Elephas maximus indicus: one gene and its partner. The protein of the gene in region 2 purifies or fractionates together with the protein of the main gene of each other region. This does not show direct contact. Links are inferred from orthologs where the notes say so. Each region holds a gene or a part of one and is shown on either strand. Other genes may lie near its edges.

Region 1 (3,747 bases), on a different chromosome or scaffold from region 2:
CTATAGGACAGAACAGAACTGCCCTACAGGGTTTCCAAGGAGCAGCTGGTGGATTTGAACTGTCGACCTTTTGGTTAGCAGCCAAGTTCTCAACCACCAAACCACCAGGGTTCCGTACAGTAGCTATATCAGTTGCTATTATATTAATTCTTATGCTAATGCAAATTAAATGACTATTTGAAAGGGTAACATACGGAAATGGCTACATAATATGCTTCTTTTTATATCTAGTCTTAAAATAAGGCTCTAGGCAAAGCTTATTATTTCAGTATTTATTACCCAAAGACATGGATTAAAACTACTAAATATGCGACATAACTAAATTATCATTTTTAAGTGGCAGTGCTTTCCTGTTAGCAATTTTTAAAGATCATAATATCTCCCAAAGTGGTTTTGGTCACTTTCTTCTTATTGTTCTTTTCAGAACCCTTTTGTTTTATTTTAGTAAATATAAACATATGTCTTGTCAGTTCCCCCCCCCTCCGCCGCCCCCCGCTTACTTCTGGGCAGATTTGGTCCATGCATTCCTTACAGTCTTTCCTGGGGGAATGGCCAGTACAATAAATATATATTTTTTTCTATTTATAATAGGAAAAACCAGTTGTGACAAACCAAAATGTGAAAAAAATTATGCATAATTTCTTAATAAAATCCTTTATCCTGAGAGATTACCAAGCAGTTGTGATTCACTCTGATAAATAATCTGACTTTGTTTACTTTTTAGAAGTCTCACAAACAGGAGAACAGTCATTCTGCTGTTGACTGTTGCAATATTATAATACCTATGATCTGTTCACTGGCATCCAGTATTTTCCCAAACTACAAAAAACAAAAATAAATCGAAGCTTGCACCTTCTAGTACTTACGGTGTTCAAACCAATAATTATCCACTTTAATTATAAATTCTAACTTTTAATTCTACTCAAAGCTGATGACGAAATATTACTAACATTTATTCAAGAATGAGTTGTTGATGTTAATTGCTGTAACTGTCTCAGACTTTGATCGCTGAATTTTAACACAATACCAAAGAGGGGACATACAACCAAAGAAGAAGGAAACTTACACGAGTAAAATGACAAGCCCAAAGTCACAAAGCTAGTTATGGCAAAACAGAAACTGGAAACAGTCTTCTGATTCCTTGTCCTTTTTGGGAGACTAGATTGAGTCAGCACTGAAAAATCTCAATTCAAAAAGTGCAACTAGGCATAGTTCATCGTTAGCAATAACTGCACTGGTAGTTACAAAACCAGCAACCAGACGCCCTGTAGGCATCCCTCTTCTGATGATCTAAAAAAAAAAAACAAAAAAAAACACCCATTCCACTACCACCCCAGCCAGATTCTAAGTACCTGGAACCTCGGGTAAGCCTACCTTTTCAGACTCCAGTCCCATCAGAATATAAACAAGGGTAACAACAGGCGGTGCAAGTAGTTCAGCGCTCGACTACTAACCCTTAAAGTTCAAACTAAACCAGCAGCTCAAGCGGGAGATGTGGCAGTGTGCTTCGGTAAAGACTTACACAGCCTTGGAAACCCTATGGGGCAGTTCTACTCTGTCCTATAGGATCGCTATGAGTCAAAATCGACTTCAAGGCAATGGGTTTGGTTTCTCAACTGGGTAGGGTTGAGGGAAACAAGTGGGACACCTAGATGTATTAGAAAAGGGTAAAAACCTAAGGGGAGAACGACAAAACACGGAAAAGCAAAAGGGGAATAGTTGAGAAAACTCGCCACAAAGCAAACACGACCCCTCCAGGCCCCACGCGAGTGCAGGAAGTGGAATGTCAGCTTCGGATAGGTTTGATAGACATCCCTCGGCCATTGTTCCTACACCAGGGTAGAGCGTTTGGAGGGAAAGGGCACCATCCCTACGCCTCCCTCTACCAAGCAGCTGGCGGGAGTAAGGGCATCCTTAGACGCACGGCGCGCCTCTTCCGAGCCAGTGGTCCGGCGCGCAACCCTAGAGCTGGCCCAGGGTTCGGGGCCTAGAGCAAGGCCCGGCGACTCCGTGGCGGGAAGCAAAAGGGTCGACCCACGCGCTGGAGAGGCGGGGAGCAACACGCTCGCTCTGGACTGGGGTGGATGGAAGATGTACGGGGCTGGAGGGGCCAGGAAGGGTGGGGGCTCGGGTAGCCGGGGAGGCCTTTCTCACCATCGTGCCAAACTCTTTCGCTGCAGCCGCTGTAGATACCACCACCGCACACGAGCTGAGCCACAACGCCGCCAACAGCCAATCCCCGCGAGAGGAGCCGCCGGAACTCGTCAAAATCGCAACCGGAAAGAGCCTTTTGGACCATAGAGGCGTACATATTTCCGGTAGCTAGAGCAGATACCGACTCTGTTTCAGCCATGTTGGATAAGGGCGACTTAGATACATCGCGGAATGTTTCGTAGCTTGAGAAAGGGTCCTTTTTTTTTTTTTTTTTAAGACGCCGTCTTCCGTACTCTGGTTGTTAGACATTCGGCCAGAGTGATCACCAGTATAGACGGGAACAAGTCCTTTTCAGTGGCCTTACTAATATTTTTACTAAAAAATGGCGGCCGTATAAGTATACCGGGCCATAGGTCGGTTGTAACCCGGAAATGCCTTTCGGGGGGGGGAACCGGTGGGGCAATCCGGAAGTGGATGTAATGAAGAGTTGCCACTTGGCGGCCATGGCAGCTGTAGTATCGGTGTCTTCGGGTCAAGACTCGGAGGAGTGGAGTGTCATGGGCAGCAGCGGGTATAGGGCAGAGACAGCTTTGTATCAGCTTCGCTGCTGAACCTTTCGGATCCGTCGTGTTAGAGACCTGCAGGACTCCTTTCCCCATACAAGACTTGGAGGGGAGTTTGCCGGGATTGGTGGGCTGGTCCCAGCCCTGGGGGGATCACCGTTGGGCTGCCTCAGGGGTACGGGGGGCCGGGAGACGAACAGGTTCTCTTGGGTTTTCCTCCTCTTCCTGCTGCCATCTGGGACATTGTCTGTGGGGGGAGTGGACTCCTTGTGCCACTCTCATTCCGACGATTGAAGAAGTCGTTCATTCTCATATTTTCCCCGTTGACTTTTCCCATTTCTGTTAACTCACGGGAATCCAGTGTCTGGCACCTGGGAACCCAGAGGCTGGGACCTAAGGTTGCTGAAAGTTCTCTCTGGTGCTATTATCAGCAAAAAGGGGTTTCCAGAGGTACCTCGAGAACAGATCTGCTGGTGGGGAGGCCGAAAGAACTGGAGAGCCCGCCTATTCTCTTGGAATCACCGCGCGTGCTTGAGAACCTAAGCAACTTTTGAAGCCACTGAAAATTCATAGTCTGTCTGGTGGTGGTGGGTGAATAAAGGAGGGCAGAATGGATGATTTCATCTCCATTAGTATGCTGTCCCTCGCTATGTTGGTGGGATGTTACGTGGCTGGAATCATTCCTTTGGCTGTTAATTTCTCAGAGGTAAGAAATAACCAATATTCTGTCAGCTCTCAGGTTGGCTGCTGGGAAGTAATGACAGTTATGAAGGGAAGCAGCTTCCCAAGTTAATCTCAGAGCTGAGGGATTTCATGAAGGAAGACTGTCTTTTAAAAAAGATACCTAACGTTTAATAGTGGAAACAAATCTCATTCAGCACTAGAGTTTTTAACGTGGGATGGGTGGATCCACCAGAAATCTGGGGTATTCTGAACCTGGGGGTCCTCATGAAATTGTAGACAAAAATTTGAGGGCTCTGCATTTTCCTGAGAGAGGCACCATAACTTAATTGATTCCCAGAGTTTCCAA
Region 2 (3,747 bases):
GTGGTTTCAATGGCTGCTTTTTGGGAAGCAGACTGCCAGCCCTTTCTTCTGAGGCACCTCAGGGGGGCGGCGGCCTCAAACCACCAACCTATTAGCAGCCAAGTGCCTTAATTGTTTGCACCACCCAGGGACTACGGAAATAGTACATCCATATATATTACAGGACTGCATCACATTTTCTTATGTTTTGTTTACTCAGTAGCTTGCTAATATGGACAGCTAGTAAGTATATCATACCAAAGGGGCTAGAGAAGCAGCACATATGCTTCAAAAAGACAAAAACAGACAGACAAATCTCCTAGCAGTCTAACATCAACTTAATAAATTTTTTGGCCAAAGGCCCTCAATGAACAGAGCTCTCAGAGACAAAAGCTACTTTAAATACCTAAACTTTTCTTAACCTCAAATGGACACTTTCCCTGACTCCAAATAATTACTTATGAGAAAGTTAAATTAGTTCAATCATTTCAGAGCTTGGGAAGACACTCTATTATTTCTGTTAAGGTAAGATGAATGGCACGAAAGAGAAGAACACAACTGTAAAAGAATCCAAAACAAAAACAAACTAAAAGCAGAATGGGAAGAAAGTGAAATGGAGCAAAGCAAGTGCCTCTTACAAGGCCCAAGAATGATATTCAAGGGCCTTTGGACAGATTCATGGCTTGCTACCTGCCTCTTACAGGCCAGACGCAACACTGCTGGCCTTGGACTGGGCAGCAAGCCTTCTGCAGCCAGGGTACCATGCTACCGTGCTGCACCACCCCTGTATCAACGTAAAAAAAAAATGTGAAGAGAGGGAGGGTGTGAGGAGTCTTTTTAAAATACATCCCACCAGATAAATGTTTCAGACAGCTTAACATAAAAATCTACTGAAAAAGGGGTTTTGAAACAACCGCCCAATGTGTGTACCATATTAAGATGCAACTAAGAACAGAAGTCTGTAGCCTTCTGTTGGTATTTAGTTATTTTAAAACCGTTTTTGTGCATTGGATCCCAGGGCCAATTTAAGTAATGTTTTCTTATGAACGAGCTGAAGTTGCTGTTGGCTGCCTCACCGCTCATTTAGAGACATCTTGGTGGTGCTTTTTAGCACAACTTTCGGAGCTGACTGTGCAGCCATCTTCAAATCCCGAGAATCTACAAAGGATAATGGACAAAATGAGCAAATTGGAATAACAACGACCTCTTTCTACAAGGGCCAAGGCCCGAACCAACAACAAATGGAAAGACCTTCACCACTGACTATTGAAGATCACATGAAAACACATTTCAGTTGCTTAAGTTTTTAAGGTAATTACTTCAAACTATTAAAATTTGAAGCCCACAGAACATAAAATATCAGCCAAAGTCTCAAAAATGGTAGCAGAACCAAAGATGGCAAAAAGGGGTGTTAACAGCTTGGCTTTTAATCTAGATCAGTTCTCAACTGGTAGTGTATGGCAACATATGACTTACCCAGGGAGCTTTTAAAACTATAGAAACCTAGGCACAGACCAATTAACCACAATCGGTGGGGGTGGGGCTGGGGATCAGCAATGGGGGGAGGAATGTTAGCCAGGTGCCTCTAATGCGCGTCTAAAGTTGAGAAGCATTGATCTGGAGAAAAAACAGGCATACTTGGCTTCAAAACTGGCTTTCGACGTTAAAATCGAGTAGTGGCCTTAGCAAGGGATTGGGGAGCTTGACGATGGAGTAGAAAAGGCTTCCTAAATAGGCATTCACCTGAGAGCTAGCTCCCAGAGAGCTCTCTACAGAATGTAACGCTAAAGCCACCGTTAATTTTCAAGCCAAAGTCCCACAGCCCTCACTTAGCCTCTCTACCATCTCAAAACCTGGGGAAGACAGCCAGCTTTGCTCAACTCGCCAAACAATTCTCCTTTTTTCCCTGTTATCCCCCATCAATCCCGCCACCAGTTTCCAGTTGAGCCTCTCCCCACCTCCTCCTCCCGGGCTCCGCCCCCTCTCGGGGGCGTCCTCACTCCAACACCCGGTCGGCTTCCACATGCCACCACCCCCCACTTCGCGACCGCCAGCTCCTTCCGTTCCCCAAGACTCTCCCCCTCCTCACTGCAGAAACGCACCAAAAGAAACGGACGCCAGTGCTCCTCCCGGGGCTGCCACCACGGCTGCGGCAAGCGGGCCGGGGACCGGCCGAACCTGAGTTGACGGTGGGGGGCTCGGGGTAACTTGGTGGGCGGTTGGTTAGATGCGTAATCGATAGACTGCTAGGCTAGCTCGTTGTTGTTTGCGGGCTGTTTGGCCAGTCCGCCTGCTCACCCAGCCTGCCTTTTCCTTCTTTTCGTCTATGCCACCACAGCTGCCGCTGCCGCTGCCGCTGCCGCCGCCGACGCCGCCGTGTCCCGCTCGACGTCCAAAACAAAATGGCCACCACGCCCCGTGCGGAGTGGGGCCGGCTAAAATGGCGTCGACGCTATTACGTCAGGCGTCAGATCCACGCACAACTAGGGGGCGGGAAAGACTTTTGCTACTTGGGCACGAGGCTGAGGGGCGGAGCCGCAGGGAGGAGGCGGAGCTTTAGTAAAAGGCCCTGTTTGTGTTACACCAAGCGCTCCGACCGCGGAGGGGCGTGGCCAATGGCCCTAGTGTTGAGGCTTGACGGGGCCTTCACGTTGGAGGCGCCTCGGTTTAGGAGCTGTAGACCCCTGGAGTCCTTCGTAGTCAGGGCCACTGAGACGGATTCAGTCTCGAAGAAAAATGTTTTCGTATCCCCTTGTTTACTCCTTCCCTCCTAAGATAGACCGTCTAAGTCTGACCGTCTAAAAATCTTTCCGCGGAATTTTACTCCACCTCTTGCAGATCACGGAGCCGGGCTGTCCGCTCAACCCCATTCTCCCTATTTTGGGAGTTGAGAACACTTTCCCGGTTCCTGCGCCATTCACCGCTTCCCGTCCGTATTAACCTCTCCACTTCTTTCCGTCCCCAATTTGGCCCGAATATTGCTTAGTCCTTATTTGGGGAGATCTTTGCGTCCCTGCTCACCCTTTCATGTCCTCCCTCTCCACCTGCCAGCCATGTGAATTTTGACACAGTTCTATAAAGGGACTTTTTTTATGTCTGGATACACAACAGAGTGCTCAGATATTTGAGACATGAGTGAATGAACACATCTTCAACCCTTCCTCCACCTTACTTATGCATCAGATTCTTTTATTTCTCTTCCTAGCACTTGTGTGTATGTGTTTTAATGGCCCGGTATCCTTGCTGGACTTTAGCCATGTGAGAGTAAGGATGGTGTTTGTTTTGTTCACTGCTGTATCCTAAGTTCCTACACAATGTCTGGCACATGGTACCAGTTACCAGTTGCCTTGAGTCCTTCTGACTCATGGCGACCCCATGTGTGTCAGAGTAGAACTGTGCTCCACAGGTTTTCAATGGCTGATTTTTCAGAAGCAGATCAGCAGGACTTTCTTTTGAGGCACCTCTGAGTGGACTCTAATCTTTATCCTTTCAGTTGGTAGTCAAGCGCTTTAACCTTTATGCCACCCAGGGACTCCCTAAAAAAAACCACGACCATAGGGACCCTATAGGACAGAGTAGAATTGCCCCATAGGGTTTCCAATCAGATTCGAACTGCCGACCTTTTGGTTAGCAACCGTAGCTGTGCCACCTCCTTAAGCACATTGGTAGGTCCTTAGTAAATACTGGTTAATGTTGAATGGAGATTCTTTTTCTGGCTTTATAGCCAAGAAGCTGATGTCTCTTCCACTTAACAGCTGGAACCCTAAA

Evidence for each region. The genes of interacting proteins can lie anywhere in the genome.
Region 1: the proteins of CHTOP (region 2) and ERH purify together in Homo sapiens (affinity purification with mass spectrometry; 3 studies listed by BioGRID and IntAct, with this or other methods). This does not show direct contact. The link is inferred for Elephas maximus indicus from reciprocal best matches to the Homo sapiens genes CHTOP and ERH.

What each region holds. Positions count from the first base shown.
Region 1 is NC_064828.1:81,864,883-81,868,629, forward strand, and holds the start of ERH (enhancer of rudimentary homolog), read right to left. Parts: upstream 2,264-3,747; 5' UTR 2,158-2,263; coding exon 2,155-2,157; intron 1-2,154. Other genes in the region: SLC39A9 (zinc transporter ZIP9), read left to right, coding at 3,332-3,423. UniProt on the Homo sapiens protein: May have a role in the cell cycle.
Region 2 is NC_064821.1:191,479,748-191,483,494, reverse strand, and holds the start of CHTOP (chromatin target of PRMT1 protein), read right to left. Parts: upstream 2,404-3,747; 5' UTR 2,082-2,403; intron 1,138-2,081; 5' UTR 1,121-1,137; coding exon 1,056-1,120; intron 1-1,055. UniProt on the Homo sapiens protein: Plays an important role in the ligand-dependent activation of estrogen receptor target genes. May play a role in the silencing of fetal globin genes.